Lepisosteus oculatus: one gene and its partner. The protein of the gene in region 1 purifies or fractionates together with the protein of each later gene. This does not show direct contact. Links are inferred from orthologs where the notes say so. Each region holds a gene or a part of one and is shown on either strand. Other genes may lie near its edges. The genes, in order: mapk4; FAST kinase domain-containing protein 5, mitochondrial.

Region 1 (11,932 bases):
TCAGTTTGAACAGATTTGAGTTAAACATATTCCACAATATAGATGAGCTTTCTGTTTGGTTTCCTTTATCATTCCCCCACCACGAGTGGAATTTAATATGGTGAATCAGTTCTTTCAGGACAACCTTTTTTTATTAAAAAAAAAATCTGTCACATCTAGTGTTATAATAACCTAGGTTAAATTATATTACTCAGTGCTCCCTGTCACTGTGATTGATTTCTCCATCTGTACATCCGAGTTTCTGAAAATAAAAACATAAAAATGTGACATTTTGTATTGAGAAAGATACAGTAGGAATATAGTTGGATAGTGGAAGAAACCCATTAAGTCCAGTCTGCAGAAGAGATCAATAATGACAAAATGAGAGGCCGAAATGAACACATTGTATTTTTGCCTTTATTAAATTTGCCTTGTAAATACATCCTGCCATTATGAGCAGTTTGCATCTTTCACAGATAATGCCAACTGAAAATTGGTTTAAAAATGAAAACTAAAATCCATGGCAAAACTTTTTTAAAACATCTAGGGGTCTAATCACACTGAAAGCACGAACTGGTGTAAAACAGAAATTATCACATGGTCTGGCAACCGTGTCAGAATGGCCCTGTCAGTGAACACGCTGAGCAGCGATCTGTGAGCTCTGGAAAGTGTGCTGCTCACACAGCTGAGAACTATCTCACCCAACGACAACTCAAACCCAACTCAGGCCCAAGTTCCTCTATCAAGCAACATGCATCAGAACCTGAACACTGTTTCCCCACATTGTCTTTTTCAGGTTGACTCTTGCAGGCAAACAGAATGCAGTTTTTTGATGTGCACAGTAACTGTCCAAATAAAAGAAGAGCCTCCCCCTTCCAACTCTTCACCTTCACTTTATTCATCTCGGAAACTCACCACCCACTATCCCTCATTGCAGAATTAAGATGCATTCGCTCAGTTGGTTGGTGTTTTTGTGCTTGAAAAGTGGATCATATATGCCCTTCGAGAGTTCTGCATCAAACACAAGGCAGCGACACAATGGATCAGGTCTGCAAGTGTTTCTCCAGCATGTTGATCATATCTGACCACTGCACTGTGAATTTGTGTTAAGGCTGTTTCCTGGAAATCAGACCCTCATAAACCACCTGGGCCTGCAGAACAACAGCAGCCTGAGGGACTAGTGGAGAACTTGCCAAATAATTCCGTGCATAGATGTCAAGGAAAGAAGCTGGTAAAAAACAAACAAACTTAAATCTTGATTCACATTAGGCCTGCAGAACATTCTGTGAAATGTGAAAAGACGAAAAAAGGTGATAAGTAGGCCAGCCAAATGAGACCAATTTTTTTTCCACTCGGTAAAACGTCCAGTGCGGTCTGAAAAGCACATGAAACTCAGGGACAGAGAAGAAGGTGCAGAATCACTGATCTGTAATTTCTCAGCTCACCCATACTGAGCAACCTGGACCACCGTTTCATGTGGGGTACAAATCCATGGCTTACTGGAAGGGCAAAAACTGGACAGAAACCAAATTTAGAGGAACATTAAACCATTTTGTTAAGAATTACTTCCCAGAGCCAAGGTATCGAAGGACATTCATAGAGTTGTTTCAACGGCCTTCATTAGATCATCATGCTAACTTGGTGGCCAACATCACGTTAAACCACAGCTCTCATCCTGCCATTGGTTGAAACATCCTAGAAATCTGGGCACTGTGCTCCCAAGAGTATCATGTGTAAAGAACTGTCAGCAGTCCTCAGTCCTGAGTGCACCTGCACTTACCTTTCTCTCCTTTTCTACTGAGGCAGCAAGACTCCTCTGGGTTTAGTTTATTGTGTTATAGTACCTGAATCCAACCCTCATTTAACTGCCTCATCCCTAAAACGAGAAGCAACTTCTTTAAGCTGTCAGGGGATAACAAGTCTTTCAGACAAAGAATCATTCCAATATAATCTCGTTCGAGCTCTTGCTAAAGCAGCAATTTTCACTCTGGAATGCAGTGGCCAACAATGAACACTATTTCAAAAGAAGTCTAACTAGTGCTTATTATACAATGTAACTTTACTTACCTTCATTTAAATAACAAACTTTTCTACTTTTCCACATTGTCCGGATAAAAAACAATATCTGTAAGCAGTTTCCTGGCTCCATGAAATGTATAAGTGCCCTTATTGAATAGTTATTTGAATTAGTCTATGTTAAATTCCATTTTTTTAGGCATCTGCTGAAATAAAAGCATTACCCAAATTCTTTGCCCATTTGGGTCTGTTAATATTCTCAACCAAAATATTCACTTACCTTTCTACCAAATTTAACAGGTTTGCTACTACAATCTAGAATATGGACATCAATCAGGAAAAGCAAAGGACCTCACACAGATCCTTGTGGTACTCTGCTATTTGTTTCACTGCAGCCTAATGTTTTTCACCCTAGCAATACTTTTGTTTTTAGTGTAACAGTTATCTGTCAATCCAAACGCATAGATCCCCTGAAAATTCCTAAAAGTCTTAAATTATCCAGAGGCAGGACATGAAAGCAACTAGGTGGAAGTCTTTCGCCCATTTTACAGTGTGAAATAATCCCAGAAGTCACTTCCACTGGCCACTGATTCATGTTAGGCGAGGTGCTCATTGAGAATGGATAGGGGAAAAAACGATATAACACGTACAGTATCTGTTTTTACACTCCTGGACCTAAATACTTTCTCGGCACGTACAAGAAAGCATAACAGGTAATCAGATAGCCACTGCGAGAAAGTGATTTCTAATAGGAATTCATGAACAGGTCTATAAAGAAAGTTGTCGCTGTGATTTGGCATCATAACGCACCTTTGATTTTTACGTTGCAAAGCCTGTACAGACAGAGCTGAACATCCCTTCGGGTCGCAACTAGACCAGAGCCGTTAAATACAGAAAATCAAGAGACCGCGGTGCTGTAGCTACAGCATCTAGGTGCATATATATTGCATTATGCTCATATGAATAGGTGAAGCAGGACAAGCAATTAAAACAGCGAAGTGCGGCTTCTGTAAAATCAACTCGAATATTCCCGGACGCCGAGCAGGTTACTTCAGGACAATTCTCGCTCAGTCCTGTTCGGCTTTCCAGTCCACGGGCGCCTCTCTTCTCCATACAAAACAGTCGCTAATTCTATAGGAAGGATGGGCTCAGCGTCATTGCTGTGACATAGTTCATAACGGGCTTTGTTTGTATTGCTGTGACTGCACGAACTCTGAAAAGTGAGAGAAAGAACCGTCTCTGTAAACACAGGACAGAGACTTAATAAATTATGCATATCCGTATGGCGAATGGCAAGTGTTATTATCTTTACCGTTATATAATGCCTTAAAGCCAATGTTGACTCGATTGAATGAAACTGTGATCGAATATATTTAACAGACAGACATGACTCAACCACATAAACAATGCATATGCCATGTAATATTGAAGAGGGATCTCCTTTAACGTATTTTCGCTGACTGGAAAGACGCAAACACAACATTGACGAGAAATAACGACATTTATCAACTTAAACGAACGCTACTACGTGCGATGCGAATTGTACCCTTTGTGCAAATTGCAACACTGTGCTATCCGTTACAGGATAAAAGGCTTTGACACATTACCCTAACGGGAAGACGATATTTTCTAAAAGACACTATGAAATTGCTGCACAAGTTGCGCGTATCCTGTGCTCCTGTACCGGTCACACAGCGTTGCTCGGAATTCAACCCCTTTTTATTTTTCTGTCCATGTCTGAAGAAGCCCACCATCACAGAACACGCACAGAAGCGGCACTTAGAAGAGAAAGAAAGCCCTTTAACACTACAATTACCGCAGACTGTGCACAGAAAGTAACACAATCTTGCAAAATTATACATATACATACCTGGAGCACAGGGCGCCTGGTCCGTTCTAAACCAGCGATATGCTCATCATTGTCCTGCGAGGAATTAATCTGGGTTATCTTTAAAAACAGACAATGTCATCGATAGCGCAAAACCTGCTCAGCTCCAGATCTCGCTTCGCACTCCCCCCCCCCCTGCTCGGAACTCCTCTGCGAGAGCTCAGCCCCCACGGCGGTGACGTCAGCGTGAAGCCCGTCGATCAGCCTGCGGCCACCTGCTAACCTGCCGCGGCCGCAGCGCTGAGCTCTTCTCTTGGCGCCCCATTCCCGAGCCGCTTGCTCCGCTCCTGTCTCGGGTCCACCATGCTGGACGCTTGCACGGTGCCTCCTGAAATAGCAGAGCCTTTTGTCAGTGACTCAAGCAACTGCACACGGTGCACAGGGCAGCGGGAACGCTAGATTCACCTAACGCGGAGTTGGAAAGCAGGTGCTATTTATCGACGGGGTGTGCATGAACGACACTGGCCCTTCACCGATGAATGAACGAAATGAATGAAAAAGAAGTACTTTTAAGAACCAAATCTTAATCCCCACGCAAAATGCAGTTCAGTCTTTTGTTTCTTCTTTGGAAATTCACAGTAAATTCGGTTGACTCTCCAGAAGAATCTAGTTAGGCTCTCAGTCTAGTACGACGGGTGCCAATATTTATTTTATTTTGTGAAAGAAATGCTGTCTCTCCCCACTGGTATGTTGCCTTTAACCTGTGGTATCGTGCCTTAAAAAGCCACAGGGGTAACACCTGCACGCTTCTTCCCCCAGTGCGCCCCCCTCTGGTGTCGTTCTGAAACCGCCGCCAGGGACGATCGGAGAGGCTATCTATCGGTAGACAGGCTGGAACAGAAAATAACACAATCGTGTTAAGCAATTACTCAATTGTAATAGAAAATGTATTTGCAGTCCTTTATCCGTCCGTAAATACCCTAATTTATCTTAAAGGACTTTAAAAACGACAAAAATAAAATATACACCTGTATTTCACTCGAGGCGGGTAAAGAGATGTGCTATGACACAGCGGACTCATTTGAGATCAGTCTCAATAAGTGATTTATGAGCGCACAATCCAGCGACCGCAGAACAGGACAGAAGGAGTCCACTTCGTTTCGGCTACGAGATGAGTGGCAACGAGCAACAGACATCCACTTTCCTCTAGTCAGCTCAGAATGTTTTGAGCAGGGGCAGAAAATTGCTTTCTCGCACACTTGATCATCTACACGGAAATAAGCACTTGACATACACGGTGAATGAAACCGGGTAGTGCTCGTTCACAGAGCACACAAGGGCTTCCACTTTATTTTAGATTTCCTCTTGTAGGGTGGTAGAGAAGGCGGGGTGCAAGCCGAGTCCACACAACGTTTTCGGCGGAAAAATGAAAGCCATAAGTTAAAACAGCTTGTGAGGCTCAGATCATTACCTCTAAACTGGATATTGCCGATGCAGCTAATTCACCTAAGAGATACAGAAGAAAGTTTTAAAGTAAATGCCTACATGAAACACGTTGGATTTTGGTGGTCAGAATCATGGAGGCTTTCATTCTGGCCTCAGAACTGTTTTGAGGAGTTTGCAGGTTCCCCACCCAGTGTGTGTTTTTAAAAATTTTCTGTCTCAAGGATGCGTTTGATCAGCTAGTTGCCCCTTTCTCCCTTGCCCTGTGGTGGAGTGATGTCCTGTCCAGAGTGAGAGCGCTCCTGAGCTCTCTGCCCTGCCTTGCGCTCCGTACTTCCAGGACTGGTTTCCTCACCAGGAAGAGTGACTTTCCAATCAGGGAATCCCGATGCTTTGGGTTCGGTGTTTGTCATGCTTTTGGATTGGGGGAATTATTAAAAAAGAGTCTGAGAAGTCAAGAACCTTTTCATCCTTTAGAATTCCCATAATTCTTCGGTCCCTAAATATTTCTGCTTTTAATGAATGTCAGCTGGAGTCTTGGTTGCTGAATGCACACTAATTTGCCTTGACAGTTCACAGAATGGGATTACATAACGCTGCAAAAAATTCCCCTGTTGCAAGTCTGCGTTAAGATAAGGGGAGAAGATGTGCTGTTGTATCCCCAGTTATGTAGCGTTGCTCTGATCACAGAAATAACTGCCAATTGCTCTTCTGTTCGGCCTCAAAGTCACCCTTCACTCCAACAAGGCAGGACCCTCCCAGAAACCACGCGGTTAAGTTTTATGAGAAAATAAAACTGAATTACGCAGCTGTAAGCATTGCAACCAATTCCTTAGCAACCAGAATACATGTACGTGCTGGTTTTTAAAAAAGACTGTATAGACACAATTGATTCACATGTAAGAGAGCCCTCTACGAACACAAGGGGATTTGCTCGATCCATAAAAATACCTGCACATATTTTCATGAAAGTGTTTAATCCAAGCAGGGTTTCCATGTTTACTCAATATGTTTTGTTTTATTGATCTTTTCCAAAGGAAATGCAACTGAATTCCAGCTCTAATGTCATTTACTGTAAGTGCACAGTGCAGGGCATCACGAGAATACTTCTGCAACTTACTCTGCAGCAGGTTTTGAAACCGAAGTGCTCTGTGTAAAGGCTAATGTTGTGTTACTAAATGCCTGGAGCAGGTGCATATGAAATACCAAATAGAGTGACAAAAAGCATTCTGCCTTCCATTGAAAGCACACAATTAAATGCACCTTCACATGAGTCAATAAATTATGGTGTTTTTCTCCTTGAATTGCATCCCCATATTTTGCCAAATATTTTTAAGAGTGGGGTTTTTCTCTTGAACTGTTCCTGAGGTTGGTGTTTTCCATTGCAGTATATATGCAGTTACACTCTTCCTGTTCTCATTGGCCTTATTTTCAAGCTGGAAGATCAATTTTGTTTTTATTAGAGGAGTTTTGTTAAGGATTCTGTTCTGGACCAAGCGAGTAAGCTAGTGTTACAATTTCTCTGTTTTTACTGTATTTGTTGTGACCCTAAGATCCATGAGCTACTGTATATGAGCTTCATCTCACAATCTGGTATACAAACACTTGAGGGCTGCTGTACAGTGATGGGGTTGTTTTTATTATGAATGCAAGAGACTCAGACAAAGGAATGCACATAATACCACTCATACACCTGACTCCGGAGAAAAGACTCATTTAAACTTATCATACTGCTAACATACCATTTTTAAGTTTCATCAGCCAGAAACGTGATTGATAATTATTAACTTGGCAAGCACATTCCATGAATAGCAAAAATTTTTCAGTTTACCAAGTTGCTGTTTCATTGTGCTTACAATCTTCTTTTCTCAGGTTCCACTGACTTGAGAGCTTCATTCAGTAAGAGGGTAGGCTGTGTCCCTCTCTCTTTACCCCTCTCTGCTCCCCATCCAGCAGATGAATTTATGGATACAGCCACTATAACAAGTGAAGCCAAAAACCTAAAAAGTAATTAAAATATGAGCTTCAGTCACTCATAAATAGTTGATGAAACAGGTTCTCCCGACTGGACTGTGTTTACATTCATATAGCTTCTTTTACAAATCAGGATAAAATTGACAACACAAACCACAAACTCCAGACAGTTCTCCAGGCAGCACACACAGAGAAAACCTTCCCAGTGGGATCTGTGTGACCTGTGTTTTAGACCAAAGGTGACGCAATTTGTGAAATCAGCTTGTGATGCTAATTTTATTAATCGCAGGGCAATGCTGAGATTCAAGGACTAGATTTGATTTTTTCTTTTTTAAGCTGTCAAAGGCACATTTTTCCGTTAAATAAGGAATTCTAAAGTACTAACACTGAAAAAAAATAATGTATAAATATCTCAGATATTTGTTGTTTGTACACATGTAATGTTACGTAATGTATGCTACGTTATGTAATGCTATATATTTTCTAACTAGTTAAGTGCCAAGCGATGATTCCCATTTTAAACTTACTTTAACTGCTGTCCAGCGTGTATTCTTTACAATACTCTGCTCCAGGCAAGTCCAGCCTGTTCTTGGGTCATTCACCTAACCTCTCCACAGAGTGAGGGGTGCCTGTGGAAATTTTTCAAACTCACAGATTAGCAATGTCAACTAGGACCGACCACAAACCGTTTTCCAGAACGGTCCCTGAACAGCAACTCAGCTCTCCTAACCCCTACTTCCGCAGAACTGCTCTCCGGGAGAATATCCTGATACTAATTCAACAGTATTCTCCCTGTCCATTTAAAAATAGCCTGCCTAGTCTTGATGGGCCTTTGTGTTAGTCAGAAAAGCTCCTGGAAAAGATTAGGTTTCTGCCGAGGACCAAAACAGGTTAGTCTGTGACTGGGGCACCCCTGACAGATCACCCTGTGACTAGTTAACCCCCGACTGGTCAACCTGTGACTAGTTAACCCCCAAATAGACAACTCCTGACTGGTCCTCCTCTGACAGGTCTAAAGTTCCTCCCCAGCTGTGCTACAGGCTGATGCAGGAGCACCTGGATGTGAAGAGAGCTGTAATTACAAGAGCGACAGGCTAATAGAGAGTGTAGGTGTTGTGATAGAGTCTTGGCAGCCGTTTCTGTTACAACAGGAAAGAGAAATCTCCTCATTGCCTGCTGCTTACATACAGTATATCTCACCTCATGCAAAGCCTTTCTATCTACATGTTGCTAAGAAACAGGAAGTGCCCATAGGCAGAATACGCTCACATTTATGCATTAAGCTGCCTCATATGGTCAAAATAGCTGTTTCTCAGGGTTCTTTCATCAGCCAAGATGGCTCACTTGCGATTTGAGGACAGATATGTACAGATGTACAGATATGATTTTGCATTTGAAGGTGATTCAGAAGATAATTGAACATTTGATGAAAGCTGGTCCAGCAGTCTGTACTGTATGGGAGGTTCACAGCATATACTGTAGGACTCCTGTTATTGTAGAAACAAAACCATAACACTTTTCTTTTAACAGGTGATATTTTTGGTTCAAAAAAGATTGATAGTGAATTGCTCAAGGTGATCTATTCGAGTGAAGCACCTTGCTCAAGGGTACCACAGCCGTGTCCCAGAATCTGAACCATCACTCAAAACTGCTGCCTTAATTCTGTTCTCTTTGCCACACTTTAAATAGCACTGACCTGACAGAGAATTCAGTCCAGTAGCACGAGAGTTAACCACCAAGCATCTCTGTCCTGCATGCCCTGCATCTGTGGCTTTGGTTGGATTTTGAGCTCAGGACATCAGCAAACGAAATCTAGGGAGCGATTCGTGTTACATCATATCCCACGGAGCACGCACGCACCACCGCTGCTAAAATCAGATCTATGCCTGTCTGCACAATGGCACAGAAAACTGCAGACCGTCCAAAAGTATTTAATGACACTAAATGCTAGATTAACGTTGGGGCTAGTCAGCTCAGGGGCTTTGTCACCTCTCACAGCGCAGGGATTAGTACAATCCCTGGGGGAGGCGACTGCAGGACAAATGTGAAAGTCACTTGCTGCCAGGAATGCCAGCTTTCCACCCCAGGAATCCGTAAGCAGTCTTTCTAAACACTTTCTGACGGCAGGTTTTGGTTCCTGTTCCACCGAATGAGCAAGGAAACACGAACTGGAGGACATGAGTGGAAATTACAGGAAAGTGCATTTAAAATTGAGATCAGGAGGGACGTCTTCACAAAAGGGACTGTGGGAGTGTGGGACAAGCTGCTCAGCCGTGCGGTTGAAGCCAAATTGATTGAAGCCATCTCGTTGACTTCTTTCAAGACACGTCTGGATGAGATCCTTGGATCAATTAACTACTAACTACCAAACACGCTAGATGGGCAGAAAGGCTTCCTTTAGTTTTTTTTTCCCTGGTTCTTCAGATATTGGCACTCAAATTTGTTTTTAACAGCTCACAAGACAAGAGAGACAAAGAAGTGGACTTTAAAGAGGGTGACGAAGCTGCATGATTGAATAATACTTTTAACTATTTTTTTTAGGAGACCACTTTTTCCCAATATAGGTATAAAACCAAAGAATTCAATATATTTCCTGCATTCCTATGTTTAAGGACAAAAGTGTGCGTCTTTGAGCCAACTCTCAGAAGCATAAATTGAAGCAAAACACACTTAATATTTTGTTGAAAATGGAACTTCGAATATCCAGCTATTTTCCCGTTTCATTTTCTGTAAGGAATAATTCATAAGGCACATCCGCCATTATTCACACCAGACTTCCAATTTAACCCATTTCCTTTTATTTCAATGAGAATGACAGGATCTCAGCTTTCACCTGATCTCTTTATTTCTGTGTGGAAACAGTCTCTAGTGTTACTGGTATTAAGTCACAAACAAGGCAACAGCACCTGCATCAGTACTTCGCAGCCCTACTGCTTATCCTGTCACGACAGCTCCCTGGTGTTGGGTGTTGGCCCTTCGCCTCTTGAAGGGACAGAATTTATATCGCGCTGCCTGGATCTGACTCCAGACTACCCCTGCCAGAGAAAGCTGGCACCAGTGATGAGAGAGATATCCCCTGCTTCAGATCCACCCTTGGATGAGGATGAGGAGGATGTCATTGGAGTATGATATTGCACCAGCCACCCTCTTTCCTTAACATAACACTGACATAACCTTCCTTGACTGAAACCCCATACTTTGTACTATACACTGTAACATGTTCGCTGTATTACTTCTCTACATTGTCTAGAAGCTTTAAATCAAGTGTCAACACACATACTTAAGATTTTCTCATCTTATATCTATAATTTATATTTCTGCTACCTGCACACAATCCTGCACTTGTCTACATTAAATGTGATTTAACACATTTTTGCCTAGTCTTTTCTATTTTAATTTTATTTGCAGAATCTCCAGCATATGCTGTTCCTCTTATTTTGGGATCACGAGTGAATTTGACTACTTTACCAAGTATACTGGAAACGGGACCGCTACAAATTCTGCTGATTACATCATCTAGTAAACAACTAAAAAGCACACTCGAAACCTACTTAACACTTTCTTGCTAAATTTAATTTGAAAATCCTTTTAAATTTTAAAACCTTCAGAATAGGGGAAGGGAATGTAGTTCTGGAGGCAAAAAATGATGAGAAACACCATGTGCTTCTTAACAAGCGTTTTGCTTTGTTATGAAGAACACTGCAGTCTTTTTCTGATTGCTGTTGAGTTCAGATCTTCAAACTACCACTTCATACTCCACACAGCAAGCATGTGGGTGTCTGCAGGCAGAGGTTATAGGAGGTGGGCTAAGCATCGCACTCCTCTACTCTGCATCACCTCTGAAGTCACTTCTGCTTAGTGTGCCAGCATGCTCCAATACTGGAGTATCTGAAAAGTCATTATCACAATAAAAGTAACAGTTTTTCTCAGCTTCACATCAGACGCATTCTTTTCTGAACAGATTAATATCCCATCTGCAGTGTCATCAATATAATTATTAGGCTTCTCTACAGAAGGACATCGACTGTTCTACCAAATCGATTGTTAGAACCATATAAAATCTTTTGCACTTACTGAAACAGGTTTTTGAGGAGAACTTAAACTGATCACTGTTTGAAACAATATTAACACTAGTACATTATTTCAGTTACAGAACAAACTCAGATGTGTACGACATATCCTGCTACTTTCAGACAAAAGCACCTCTTTGTTAGTGCTGTGTGCTCTGTTGGTAGTTCTTTAACAAATCTGATGACTGTCTTTGAAGTCACAGAATACAGCACTGTATGTTCAATGGGGAGGCAGATATCTCAAGTATTTTAATTAATTCCAAATAGAATGATAAGAAATCGGTTCACTGTTGGCTCTACAGAGTAGTGTTAATGAATTTTAATCATTAACAATATCATTAACCTTTTGCCTTAAACTCTCCTTAATTGAAGTAATAGGACTCAATTGAAGTTAAGTATTTTGGGCACATTTTATTTTCAAAAAAAGGTTTGTTTCTCAATAAAAGTGAGTGGGATGCCTAGCTGAAGGGGACAACAGCAGTGTCTCCCTAGGAATTTGATCCCCCAACCTTCCGGTTAAGACTCCAGGACCTTGATCACTGCTCCCCATTTGAAACCTACTGTACACGAGAACCCTTAACTGGGGTTAGAACAACAAATGGAGGAATTTCCAGTACCGATG
Region 2 (11,787 bases), about 60 Mb from region 1:
AACCCCAGCGTCCCGTCGGCGAGGTCCGGGGCCTGGCGCTCCTGCGCCCCTGTGGGACTCGTGTCGAGCAGCTGGGCCAGCAGCCCGTCCGTGATGGGGACCCCCGCCGAGTCCTCCTCCCAGCCCCGGGGCAGGGGGCGCCCCCCGCTGGGGTCCTGCGGCAGGGGCGTGCCCAGGGGAGCGGGCCGGCCGGCGGGGTCCAGGTGCACCTCCAGGTCGACGGAGCGCGTGTGTGGCAGGATCATGCGCCTCCTGACGAAGTGCGCCCCCTGCAGCAGCTCCCCCATGAGCGCTTCGGCCTCCCGCAGCTCGGGCCTCTGCAGCTGGTTTTTCTGGGCGAAGTCCCACAGCCGCCGGACCGCCTCCTGGCGCAGCTCGGCGGGCAGCCGGGGCCCGTCCCAGTCCGGCAGCTCCAGGCCCACGGTGCCGTCCAGCGTGAGGAGGTCATTGAGCAGCTCCAGGTGCGGCACCTCGGCCGCCCGCCGCACGAGCCGCGGGCTCAGCGCCAGGCCCAGCAGGTCGCGGGGGAACCGGCCCACGAAGGCCAGGGCCAGCAGGCCCGTAAGCAGGTGCTCGGGGTAGCGCTCGAACTCCGGCGCCCGGGCGCGCAGCTGCTGCGTCAGGCTGCACAGGAAGGCCGGCGCGTTGCTGGGCTGGTAGCCCAGGGAGCAGAAGGCCCAGAGGAGCTTGGCGGCGTCCTTGCTGCGGCAGTGCGGGGCCAGCGCCGGCACCTCCGCCGCCACGGCCTCCAGCACCCGCTCGTCCACGAAGCGCAGAGAGGAGCAGGCCAGCGCCACGTGCATGAGCGCGGGGGCCCCCAGCGCGGGCGCCCTGCGCGGCACCTCGGCCGCCAGCGCGGACAGCAGCCCCTTGTGGTACAGGTGGCTGAAGCGCAGCAGCTTGAGCACGCTCACCAGCGCGGCGTTGCTCATGTCCGGCAGCAGCTCCAGCGCCCGGTCCGCCAGCCGGCACACCGCCCCCTGCGACAGCGCGCTCTGCGACTTGAAGAGCCCCAGGCTCACGGCGCCCACCTCCTCGGGGCCCAGCTGCTCCGCGCAGCGCAGCAGCGCCCCCTCCAGGCGGGGCAGCAGGTCCGCGGGCGCGCGCCGGCCCTCCCCGATCAGGTAGAGCAGCTGCACCAGCTCGTGCGAGCCGAGCTCCGGCAGGCAATGCCCCACGCGGCTGCACACCTGCTCCAGGAACTGCGGCACCGAGCGGCCCAGGCAGCGCCACAGGTCGGCAGCCAGCAGCAGGTCGGCGCGGCGCAGCTGGCAGGCGCGGCGGCGGCACTCGGCCTCGTACAGGGCCAGCATGCTGTGGCCGGGCGGCAGGCCGAGCCGCACGAAGGCCCGCAGCACGTCCAGCAGCTGGGCGTCGCTGAAGCGCGGCAGGCTCTCGGCAGCCAGGCGGCACAGCATGGAGAAGCGCGGGTCCCCGCGCACGGGCGCCTGCAGCTCCGGGGGCAGCCGGCCCAGCTCCGCCAGCAGCGCGGCCACGCCGTCCGGCTGCAGGCCGCCCTTCAGCACCGCCACGCGGTGCAGCAGCAGGAAGGCGCGCTGCGCCGCCAGCGGGGGCGGGCGCTCGGCCAGGTCGTGGCACAGCTGCCGGTACTCCGGCCGCGAGCTCTGGAAGGCGCGGGGGTCCTCCAGGCTGTCGTAGTCCAGCTCCGGCGCCCGCGCGGGGGCGCTCTGCTGCGGCCCGAGGCCGGCCCGAGCCGGGCTGAAGGCCAGGTCCAGCAGGGTGTTCTGCGAGCTGGACAGGCGGCGCGAGCAGCTGACACTGTAGGGGTTCCCTCCTTGCCAGGCGCCCTGGGGGTCCGGCTCCTCCGCTGGCTCCCCTGCCGCAGGGGAGGGCGCTCTGCCAGGCGAGGGCAGGTGGTAGGCGGAGGGGCAGTAGGGCACCCTGTACTCCAGCCAAGCTGAGGGTCTGCCCACCAGCTCTCCCTCCTCCTCCTCCTCATCTTCCTCCTCTTGCTCTCTGGGAGCACTCTTCCTCCTCCGCTGGCCAGGGCCCGTGTCCCCGTCTTCACGCGTCCACAACACCACGGGCAGGCGAGGGCGGCGCGGGACAGCCAGCCTCCGGCACAGCACATACCACGCCATCCAACCGCTGCACTGCAAGACACACACACGCCACCGTGAGGCGCCACACTCCCCCAGCACGGCACGGCAAGACACACACGCCACCGTGAGGCGCCACACTCCCCCAGCACGGCACGGCAAGACACACACGCCACCGTGAGGCGCCACACTCCCCCAGCACGGCACGGCAACACACACAGGCCACCGTGAGGCGCCACACTGCCCCAGCACGGCACTGCAAGACACACACAGGCCACCGTGAGGCGCCACACTGCCCCAGCACGGCACGGCAAGACACACACACGCCACCGTGAGGCGCCACACTCCCCCAGCACGGCACGGCAACACACACACACGCCACCGTGAGGCGCCACACTCCCCCAGCACGGCACGGCAAGACACACACGCCACCGTGAGGCGCCACACTCCCCCAGCACGGCACGGCAACACACACACACGCCACCGTGAGGCGCCACACTCCCCCAGCACGGCACGGCAAGACACACACGCCACCGTGAGGCGCCACACTCCCCCAGCACGGCACGGCAAGACACACACGCCACCGTGAGGCGCCACACTCCCCCAGCACGGCACGGCAAGACACACACACGCCACCGTGAGGCGCCACACTCCCCCAGCACGGCACGGCAAGACACACACAGGCCACCGTGAGGCGCCACACTCCCCCAGCACGGCACGGCAAGACACACACAGGCCACCGTGAGGCGCCACACTCCCCCAGCACGGCACGGCAAGACACACACAGGCCACCGTGAGGCGCCACACTGTCCCCTGCACGGCAACACACACACGCCACTGTGAGGCGCCACACTCCCCCAGCACGGCACGGCAACACACACACAGGCCACCGTGAGGCGCCACACTCCCCCAGCACGGCACGGCAAGACACACACAGGCCACCGTGAGGCGCCACACTGTCCCCTGCACGGCAACACACACACGCCACCGTGAGGCGCCACACTCCCCCAGCACGGCACGGCAACACACACACACGCCACCGTGAGGCGCCACACTCCCCCAGCACGGCACGGCAAGACACACACAGGCCACCGTGAGGCGCCACACTCCCCCAGCACGGCACGGCAAGACACACACACGCCACCGTGAGGCGCCACACTCCCCCAGCACGGCACGGCAAGACACACACAGGCCACCGTGAGGCGCCACACTGTCCCCTGCACGGCAACACACACACGCCACCGTGAGGCGCCACACTCCCCCAGCACGGCACGGCAAGACACACACGCCACCGTGAGGCGCCACACTGTCCCCTGCACGGCAACACACACACACGCCACCGTGAGGCGCCACACTCCCCCAGCACGGCACGGCAAGACACACACAGGCCACCGTGAGGCGCCACACTGTCCCCTGCACGGCAACACACACACACGCCACTGTGAGACACAAACTTCGGCCACACACTCGTCCACAGCAGCTGAGATTGCCAAGCCCTGACAGGGGGACACCAGGACACCCCAAGTCCCCACGAGAACAGAGGAGCCTCAGCGGGGCATTCGGACTCCTGCGCATTCAGGAAAGTAAATTAAAATACAAACTGCCCTACTATTATAAATAAAAGAATACATTTCATTTGATAATGACAATAAAAAATGTTACATTTTTCAACTTGAAGAATCCTGAAACGCATCACATAGAGAATGAACCAACTTCATCTGTCTGAAGAGCAGCCCCACCTGGGAGACACACAGCGGCCATTATGCACCAGCAGCCCCACCTGGGAGACACACAGGGATCATTCTGCACCAGCAGCCCCACCTGGGAGACACACAGGGATCATTCTGCACCAGCAGCCCCACCTGGGAGACACACAGGGATCATTCTGCACCAGCAGCCCCACCTGGGAGACACACAGGGATCATTCTGCACCAGCAGCCCCACCTGGGAGACACACAGGGATCATTCTGCACCAGCAGCCTCACCTGGGAGACACACAGGGATCATTCTGCACCAGCAGCCCCACCTGGGAGACACACAGGGATCATTCTGCACCAGCAGCCCCACCTGGGAGACACACAGGGATCATTCTGCACCAGCAGCCCCACCTGGGAGACACACAGGGATCATTCTGCACCAGCAGCCCCACCTGGGAGACACACAGGGATCATTCTGCACCAGCAGCCCCACCTGGGAGACACACAGGGATCATTCTGCACCAGCAGCCTCACTGCACACAGTTTGTGGGGAGGAGAGAAACTGCTGCAGCAGGTATATTAATGGGTAGGTCAAGGGAGACCAGACTGTACAAGTGGAGTTCAGCCCGGGCACCATGAATAACACTCCCCATTGAACTGGACTGGAAATTCCAGTTCAGACTGAAGAGTGCCACCTTCTGGTCCACCAACACCATTACAGTAACAGCTAAGTTTTCCTTGAAGGTCTTTTATCCCAGTACTAACCAGGCCCAGCCTGCCCCAGCTTCTAGGATCAGGTTATAAGGCAATGTAAAAAAAAACACACGCAAGAAAAGTTCTAAAAGCCTACTGATGAGTCAGAATACAATCGCTGCAAGAAAACAGTCCTTGCCTCTCAGTATAAGTGTGCTGACTGAATCCAATCCACTGTGCTCCGCAAGAAGATGAAATGAAGGGGATCTCGCTCATAGAGTAGCTGGCTACAAACCGATCCAGGGATCTCCTCCAGCTGTTTCTTGAAAGTAGCCAGGCTGGGTAGCTTGCGATAAGTATGGCCGCATTAAGATGTTAAACTCATGGGAACTATGGTGCTGTGGGGTGTGTATGGCTGTTACCAGCAGGTGTACCAGACTGGAGAGACTTTTGGTTCTAAGTCCAACCCGAATAGTCAATTAAACTACTAGCCTTGCTATTTTCTTAGAAATACACGGGATTGCGCTCGGTGTCTTCTACAGTTAACGTGGCGAGAAGAAGGGGAAGGACGTATTTAACGAGCCCAGCTCTGTAACAGACAGGGCGACAGGGCTCCACACCGCGACTTGCGCCCTGCTGTTTCACAGCCAGGTGGAGGCCGGGCACCGCCTCTCGCTCCTCACGCTGCCCAGGGCGCCGCCAACCACTGCTTCAGGGGCTCCCGGCCTGACCGCACAGCCTTGTGTTAATTCCGGCTCCTACACGCTCTGAAGGAGCGGCTAGCGGAGAGATGCCGAGCTTCCCAAAGTCACAGCGGTCTCCCTGTCCGACACCCGGCGTGTGAGCCCTAAACTAAACTCTGCGACCCTCTCTGTCGCCTCCTTCACCCGTGGGCGGTCCACGGCTTCCAGCAGCGGACCTGGCGGAGGACAAACAGGGCGTGCGAGAGCCCGTGTGAGATTTCACACCCAGACACCGACGACCCCCTGCTGCTCTGCCTGGGGCAGCGGAGAAAGTAAAACAGCAGATGTCGCACCCGAGCTGGGCTGACCAGCTCTGCCTCCGGGCAGTAAACACGCGCCGGGACCATGTGGGGTGCGCACCTGCCCGAGCCCCCGGTACCGAAGCCCCGCCAAAGTAACCCACCTCCTCTCCGGACACGCTGCAACTGAGCCAAGACCCGCAGTCCCCTCCAAGTCCAGGATCCGCAAGTTCGCCGAAACCTCACCGGCCGCCGCACAAAGGTCACGAACTCGATGACGTACAGGACCCCCGGAGGGACAAACAGAACCCGGGGACTGGCTGTAACGCGTTTTTCAAAACAAAGGAAAGCATGCGCAGTTAGTATCACACTGACACTAGATGTCTCCGGAATTCACGGCAGACAAGCAGAATAATCTTTCACATCTTTTCTGACTTGTGTCGCTAGAAGGAAATCTGTCCCTGCTTTTATAAAGCCATTATGATATTAGTGTTTGGATTTTTTTACTGGTTACCTCAATATGCTCCATGTGTATGAGAAATGCAAGTGATTAGAGGAAGGCTGTGCCAGTGACAGGGTTCACTCAATTAATTCTGCCAGGGTAAGACTACAGAGCTGCTTGGGAAGTATTGTCCTTGACATCTTTTGCAATACTAAGGTGGAAATAACTGAGTTCAGACAAACCATCATGTTCATTATTCCAGTCTGCACACTGAAAGCTGCACTGTCCTGCTCTCCGATCCTCAGCCCAGATCCGGAGCCGGGCCCTGGTGGGAGAAGCTGCTGTAGAACCAGGAAGAAGTGAGCGAGACCGAAGTGCAGGCTTTGGCCAACAATAGGGTTTCTGTTATTGCACTGGCTCGCTGCTTTTAAGTGAGCTTTTGTGAATGCAGGATTGGAAGTGTTTGACATCTCCTATGGGTTTCAGTTCTGGTTCTGAGTTAGAGGTGCTCAGGTCCAGAGCAGGAGTCCAGCAGGAGGGACGCGCTGCGCAGTCCTCACGCTCAGGATGGTCACACGCTGAAGGAACCCCAGCGTTACAGGGGCTGTGGGAGTGTGGAACAAGCTGCCATGCTGCTGATTGCGTCGAGACACCGCTGGCTGGGATCCTCTGATCGCCTGGATACTAGCGACCAAGTGACCTACAGTAGCTGAGCCACGTGGTCTCCCGTCAGTTGTGACCATTGTGAAGCTCTAACAAGGAAGAATGCTGATCTCTCATTCTGCATCTCCATCTCCAGGCTGTTTAACGGCAGACTGAAGCCCAGGACGGGGGATTGCTCCTTGATTCCAGTAGCTGAAGGCATGTGGACGACCTCCCCAGTCAGGAGAGCCTGCAGACTGGCAACACACTCCGCACAGGCGGGAGGTAACTGGGGCCCATGGAAAGGAGTTCAAGCACATTAATCACAAGGCTGGCACTGAAGCTTGGATTTATGAGCATGTCTGCAGTAGCTTTGTATTTACTAATGTGTCAAGGGGAACAGGTCTTCAGTTATAAGATCTTCTCCACTACTGCCCTTCATTCTGGGTTTGTCTTCCGCACATAATAACCATGGTGTCACCTCTGCTCCTATCTGGTGCTGGTGGAGTGGTGGCTCTGTGGCTCAGGATCTGCGCCTGTGGCTGTAAGGAATCTTACTCCAAGGGGCCCCTGAGCAAGGCCCTTCACCCCAGCTGCTCCAGGGGTGCCTTATGAATGACTGACCCTGCACTTTCACCCTTAGCTTCTCTCTCCCTGTCTGTGTGTCTCATGGAGAGCAAGTTGGGGTATGTGTATGTGAAAAGACAAATTCCTAATACAAGAAATGTCCTGGAGCTACAAGCACATCTGTCCTGGACCTCTTTACCTGTGGTCAGCAGTGCTTGCCCTTTGAGCCTGTAACCATGGAGAGATTGAGAGATTATTCTAGAAAGAGTAGAATGCTCAGATGTATTTTTTCATGTATTTATTGGTTTATTGTTATAGCTAGAGTATGCTTTCAATCAAGCAATTACAGTTCTTAACATAAATAAAAAGAATTGTAAAAAAACATTGAAGCGTTTTGTTTTCTTCAGACATTACAATAACAACAATAATAAAAAGGAAACACATGAACAGAGTTTGGATATGTTCATTTCTTCTGTACCATGTAGTAGACCCAAAGTAAAGATATATATTTATATATTTTAAAAAATAAAAGCTGAAGTGTCTGTTTAATTAATTCACAATAATCCTCTTAAATTATTCACACGCAATATCTTGGAATACCATTATAGATATATGTACACATCGATAACAATGATATTTACATCCAAGTACACTTTTCTCTCAGGTTCTACTAGAAGTACATAGCAGCAAGTCTAAAGAGGAGAAAGACACTGGTGGAGTGCAGCTTCAGCTCCTCCCACTCAGCAGACCCTACGGAGAGACCTATAGCCTCTGTGGAGCTCTGTGGACCCTATAGAGACCTGTGGACTCTGTGGACCCTATAGAGACCTATAGTCTCTGTGGAGCTCTGTGGACCCTATAGAGACCTATAGTCTCTGTGGAGCTCTGTGGACCCTATAGAGACCTGTGGACTCTGTGGACCCTATAGAGACCTATAGTCTCTGTGGAGCTCTGTGGACCCTATAGAGACCTATAGTCTCTGTGGAGCCCTGTGGACCCTACAGAGACCTATGGACATTGTGGATTGCTGTGGAACCCTGTGGTTCTTCTCGGACCCCTGCTGTAGCCTGTAGTGCCCTGTGTATCCCTTGGGCCCTGTGTAGCCTACATCTCCCTGTGTAGCCTGTATCGATCTGTGCACTATACAGATCCCTGTGTAGCCTATATCTCCCTGTGGATCCTATAAACACCTATGGACTCTGTGGACACTATAGCGTCCTGCAAACCACACTGAGCCCTGTGGGTTCCTGACCAGCCCCGAGGAGCCCTGTGGGGCTCTGTGCAGTCCTGGGACCTGTGAAGCAATACTGCCTCTCTGTCTCTCTCCTGCTTTCTCCACCTCTGTCAGTCCCCTCCTCTTCCTCCTTCCCGACTCGATGCTGTTCCACTCTCCCCCCCAGCCCTCTGCCCACCCCTGCCACTCCACCCCGGGTCCAGGAAGGGCTCAAACCATCAGGATTCCCACATTCCCAGATTCACGGACATTTTCAGGAGCCCAAGATTTCCTAAGATCATGTTCAGGTTACTCAAAACCCCGCCATATTAGAATGAGCAGTTTAATTAAGCACAATTGTCCAGTAGCAGGCATATATGTCAGGCCGTGCGTAATGCACAAGGTTAAGGTAGGCTGAAGTTGTTCCTCTTCCATTTTGGGCTTGGTGTTGTGTCACAGGTGCCAAACTGCTCATTTTAATGGGGCAGGCTCTTCGGGGCGGTGACTGCTGGGACTTCCCGCCCCCTGTTCAAGTCTGCTCGTCTGTCTGTCTGCTGTCTGCTGTCTGCTGCCCCACCAAGCACACAGGCACACAGCTGCTCAGGCCAGAGGGGTCGACCACTGGGCCTCTGCTGCTGTGGCTTTCAGAGCGGGAGTTTGTGAGATCGATTATCTTCCAGCGTGTTTTGATGGCACGAGTTCGACTCCCTCTGCTGTGCCCTCCGCTCACCTGCTGCGTGGGGTGGCGAGTTTCTGGGGGGTCCGGGGTCGTTCCCTCTCCTGTCCACCACAGCTGTCCACAGGTCTCCAGGCTCACAGCTTTTTTAATTCAGCTTTAAGCCCCTAATTGCTTTCTTTCACTCAATGAATTCTTTCACTGTATTGAACCAGCTTACCCTTCTTGTCCAATTGAGTCCATATACAATCTTCTCACTCCCCATTTCTTAGAATTTCACCAGAAGATCCAGTTTTTGTTTAAACCTTTTCTGATTGTTCGAAACAGAGAATTTCAAGGTGGTTTTCAAGTAAAATGCTCTATCTGAAGAGGAGCGCAGCCTCATCGCAGCTCCTGCGGCTCGGCTCCCAGGGTCACTAACAGTCCAGGTGTGCGCAGGTGAGCCCTCGGCTGGTCAGCCAGCTCTCCATCTTCTCCAGCAGCGCGCTGCTGGCACTGAAGTCCACACTTATCAGAGAGGAGCCAAATCCCACTGCACAGGCGCAATCTCTCCTCGGGCCAGGTCCTGTCTGCTCCTGGGGGCTGGCGCTAGCAGGTGTGCACTGACACGGGCCTACCAGCAGAGGGGGTGGTGCAGCATGCTGCCCCTCTCAGGCCAGGCACTCTGTGCCTCTGTGGTCTTGCACCCTGGCAGCTGAAGCAAACAATGTTCATGTAAAGGGTGGCTCAGGGACTTTTACTTTACTTTGTTTAATGGCAGCTACTTGGAAAGAGGTTTTTCTTCTTGTACCAGTGGCGAGGGGGTCTGTGTGTGTAACGAGCTTGGGGTGGACGAGGTGGGCAGGGGAGGGAGTCCAGGGCGAACTGCAGCAGGACACAACACAGCTGAGCTCCTCAGAGCACGACGTGAGTCTACTCTCATATCACCCCAGGATTATTATTTCCTTGATATTTGTCTTCAAAGCCACTGAAGCCAGAGCCCTGGCCACTTCCCCACACTGCTGACCTCATGCAATTCATTTTCAGCTGACTTATCAAGTTGGATCATTACAACGTGGTCATGTGTTCTGTTCCAGATCATTTTAATGAGATGTGCTCTGGAACACAGTCATACTGCGTTCTGTAATCCAGAGATACAGAACACCTCCACCTGGGAATTTTCTACTGGAATACCTCTCTATGCTCCTGCAAAATATCTGCATGTTCAAATATTTCACAGATTTGCACAAGAATATCTCAGCTGTGCATACCACGATGATCTGTACTGAATATCTGTGTTTTCCCTTCTGGAACACTTCAGTGTCCTACACTGTAATAATCTAAGCTCTCCATACTCAAATACTAGTTTCTTGCCCTGCAACTGCAGTCAGTATTTTCTACTGGAACACCTCACTGTTAATCCTGGAATATCTGAGAGGCATCCCTGAGGAAATACCTGTGTTCCATAGTACGAGAACATCTCAGTGATGATCTGGGGATCGGCGCCAGGCCTCAGTGCTCCTGGACTGACCCGCTGCCTGCAGTTGATCGGCGCCAGGCCTCAGTACTAACGGACCAACCCGCTGCCTGCAGTTGATCAGCACCAGGCCTCAGTGCTCCTGGAGTGATCCGCTGCCTGCAGTGGATCGGCGCCGGGGGTCAGTACTGTTGGACCGACCCTGCTGTCTGCAGTGGATCGGCGCCAGGCCTCAGTACTAACGGACCGACCCGCTGCCTGCAGTTGATCAGCACCAGGGGTCAGTGCTGCAGCTCAGGTAAATTCAATTTCAAAACCGTAGCCCTCATTATCCTTAGATGAGAGATTTAGAAGGAGGAATACAAACAGCTCCCCCAAAACTAATCTGCCTCGAGCGGGCCAGGGAGCTCTCCCAGGCCATAGACCGCAGGAGGAGTGAGGCTGGACAGCTGCAGCTCCCGTGTCAGTGTGTCAGGCTCCCAGTTTGCACGCCGCCAGCAGCAGCTCCAGTCAGCGTGTCAGTCCAGGTGCCACCAGTGGGCTCAGCGTGAGTAAATGGATGAGCTCCAGTGGGCCAGCAGAGCGTCAGTGCCAGTTCCTCTGTCCCCGGATGGGCGCGGTCCGCGCGGCCCAACCTCTCTGCGCTCTCTGCAGCCCGGCGCTGCCTCGCCAGCGGTGCCGTGTCCCGGGACAGGCCGGCTAGATCTCCGTCGACTCGATCCGCTCGAGACGGGACGGCCCGCCCCAGGGCGGGGTGAGCTGGGGCGGGGAGGGCTTCTTGTCCTCGGGGGGGGGCGGGGGGGGCAGCGGGAGGCTGGTGGGCGGGGAGGGGAGGCTGATCTTGGAGCTGAGCTGGCCCACCTGCTGCTCCAGGGCCTGGTTCTTCTGGTACATCTCCACGTAGTTGAGCTGCAGCTGGGCCTGGTACTTGAGCACGCGCTCCTTCTCGCCCTGCCAGGTGTGCCGCTCCTTGGCGAAGCTGAGCGCCTGCCTCTCCCTCTGCTGCCTCTCCAGCCTCAGCTCGCCCTGCAGCCTCTCCAGCTGCCGCCGCAGCCCCCCCGCCTCGGCCTGCCGCTGCGCCTTCGCCTCGTCGCTCTGCAGGCTCAGCAGGGCGTCCGCCTGGGGGGGCGGCGGCCCGTCCGGGGGGCTCTGAGGGGAGGGCACAGCCGCCCGCCCGGCCCCCCCCAGCTCCACCAGCGCTTGCTTCAGTCCCAGCACCTCTGCTTCGAACACGCCCAGCTTGTCCCGCAGCAGAGAGACCTGTGGGGGCGAGGGAGCGCGGGTCAGTGCCGAACAGCCCCTCACACACACCCCAGGGCGCCACACGGGACAAACAGACTCCAGAGTCAGCTTTGATTG

Evidence for each region.
Region 2: the proteins of mapk4 (region 1) and FAST kinase domain-containing protein 5, mitochondrial purify together in Homo sapiens (affinity purification with mass spectrometry; 3 studies listed by BioGRID and IntAct, with this or other methods). This does not show direct contact. The link is inferred for Lepisosteus oculatus from reciprocal best matches to the Homo sapiens genes MAPK4 and FASTKD5.

Annotation. Positions count from the first base shown.
Region 1 is NC_090698.1:15,054,409-15,066,340, forward strand, and holds the start of mapk4 (mitogen-activated protein kinase 4), read right to left. Parts: upstream 4,357-11,932; 5' UTR 3,866-4,356; intron 1-3,865. UniProt on the Homo sapiens protein: Atypical MAPK protein. Phosphorylates microtubule-associated protein 2 (MAP2) and MAPKAPK5.
Region 2 is NC_090698.1:74,604,635-74,616,421, forward strand, and holds the start of FAST kinase domain-containing protein 5, mitochondrial, read right to left. Parts: upstream 5,757-11,787; 5' UTR 5,597-5,756; intron 2,110-5,596; 5' UTR 2,103-2,109; coding exon 1-2,102. Other genes in the region: lzts3b (leucine zipper putative tumor suppressor 3), read right to left, coding at 11,128-11,688. UniProt on the Homo sapiens protein: Plays an important role in the processing of non-canonical mitochondrial mRNA precursors.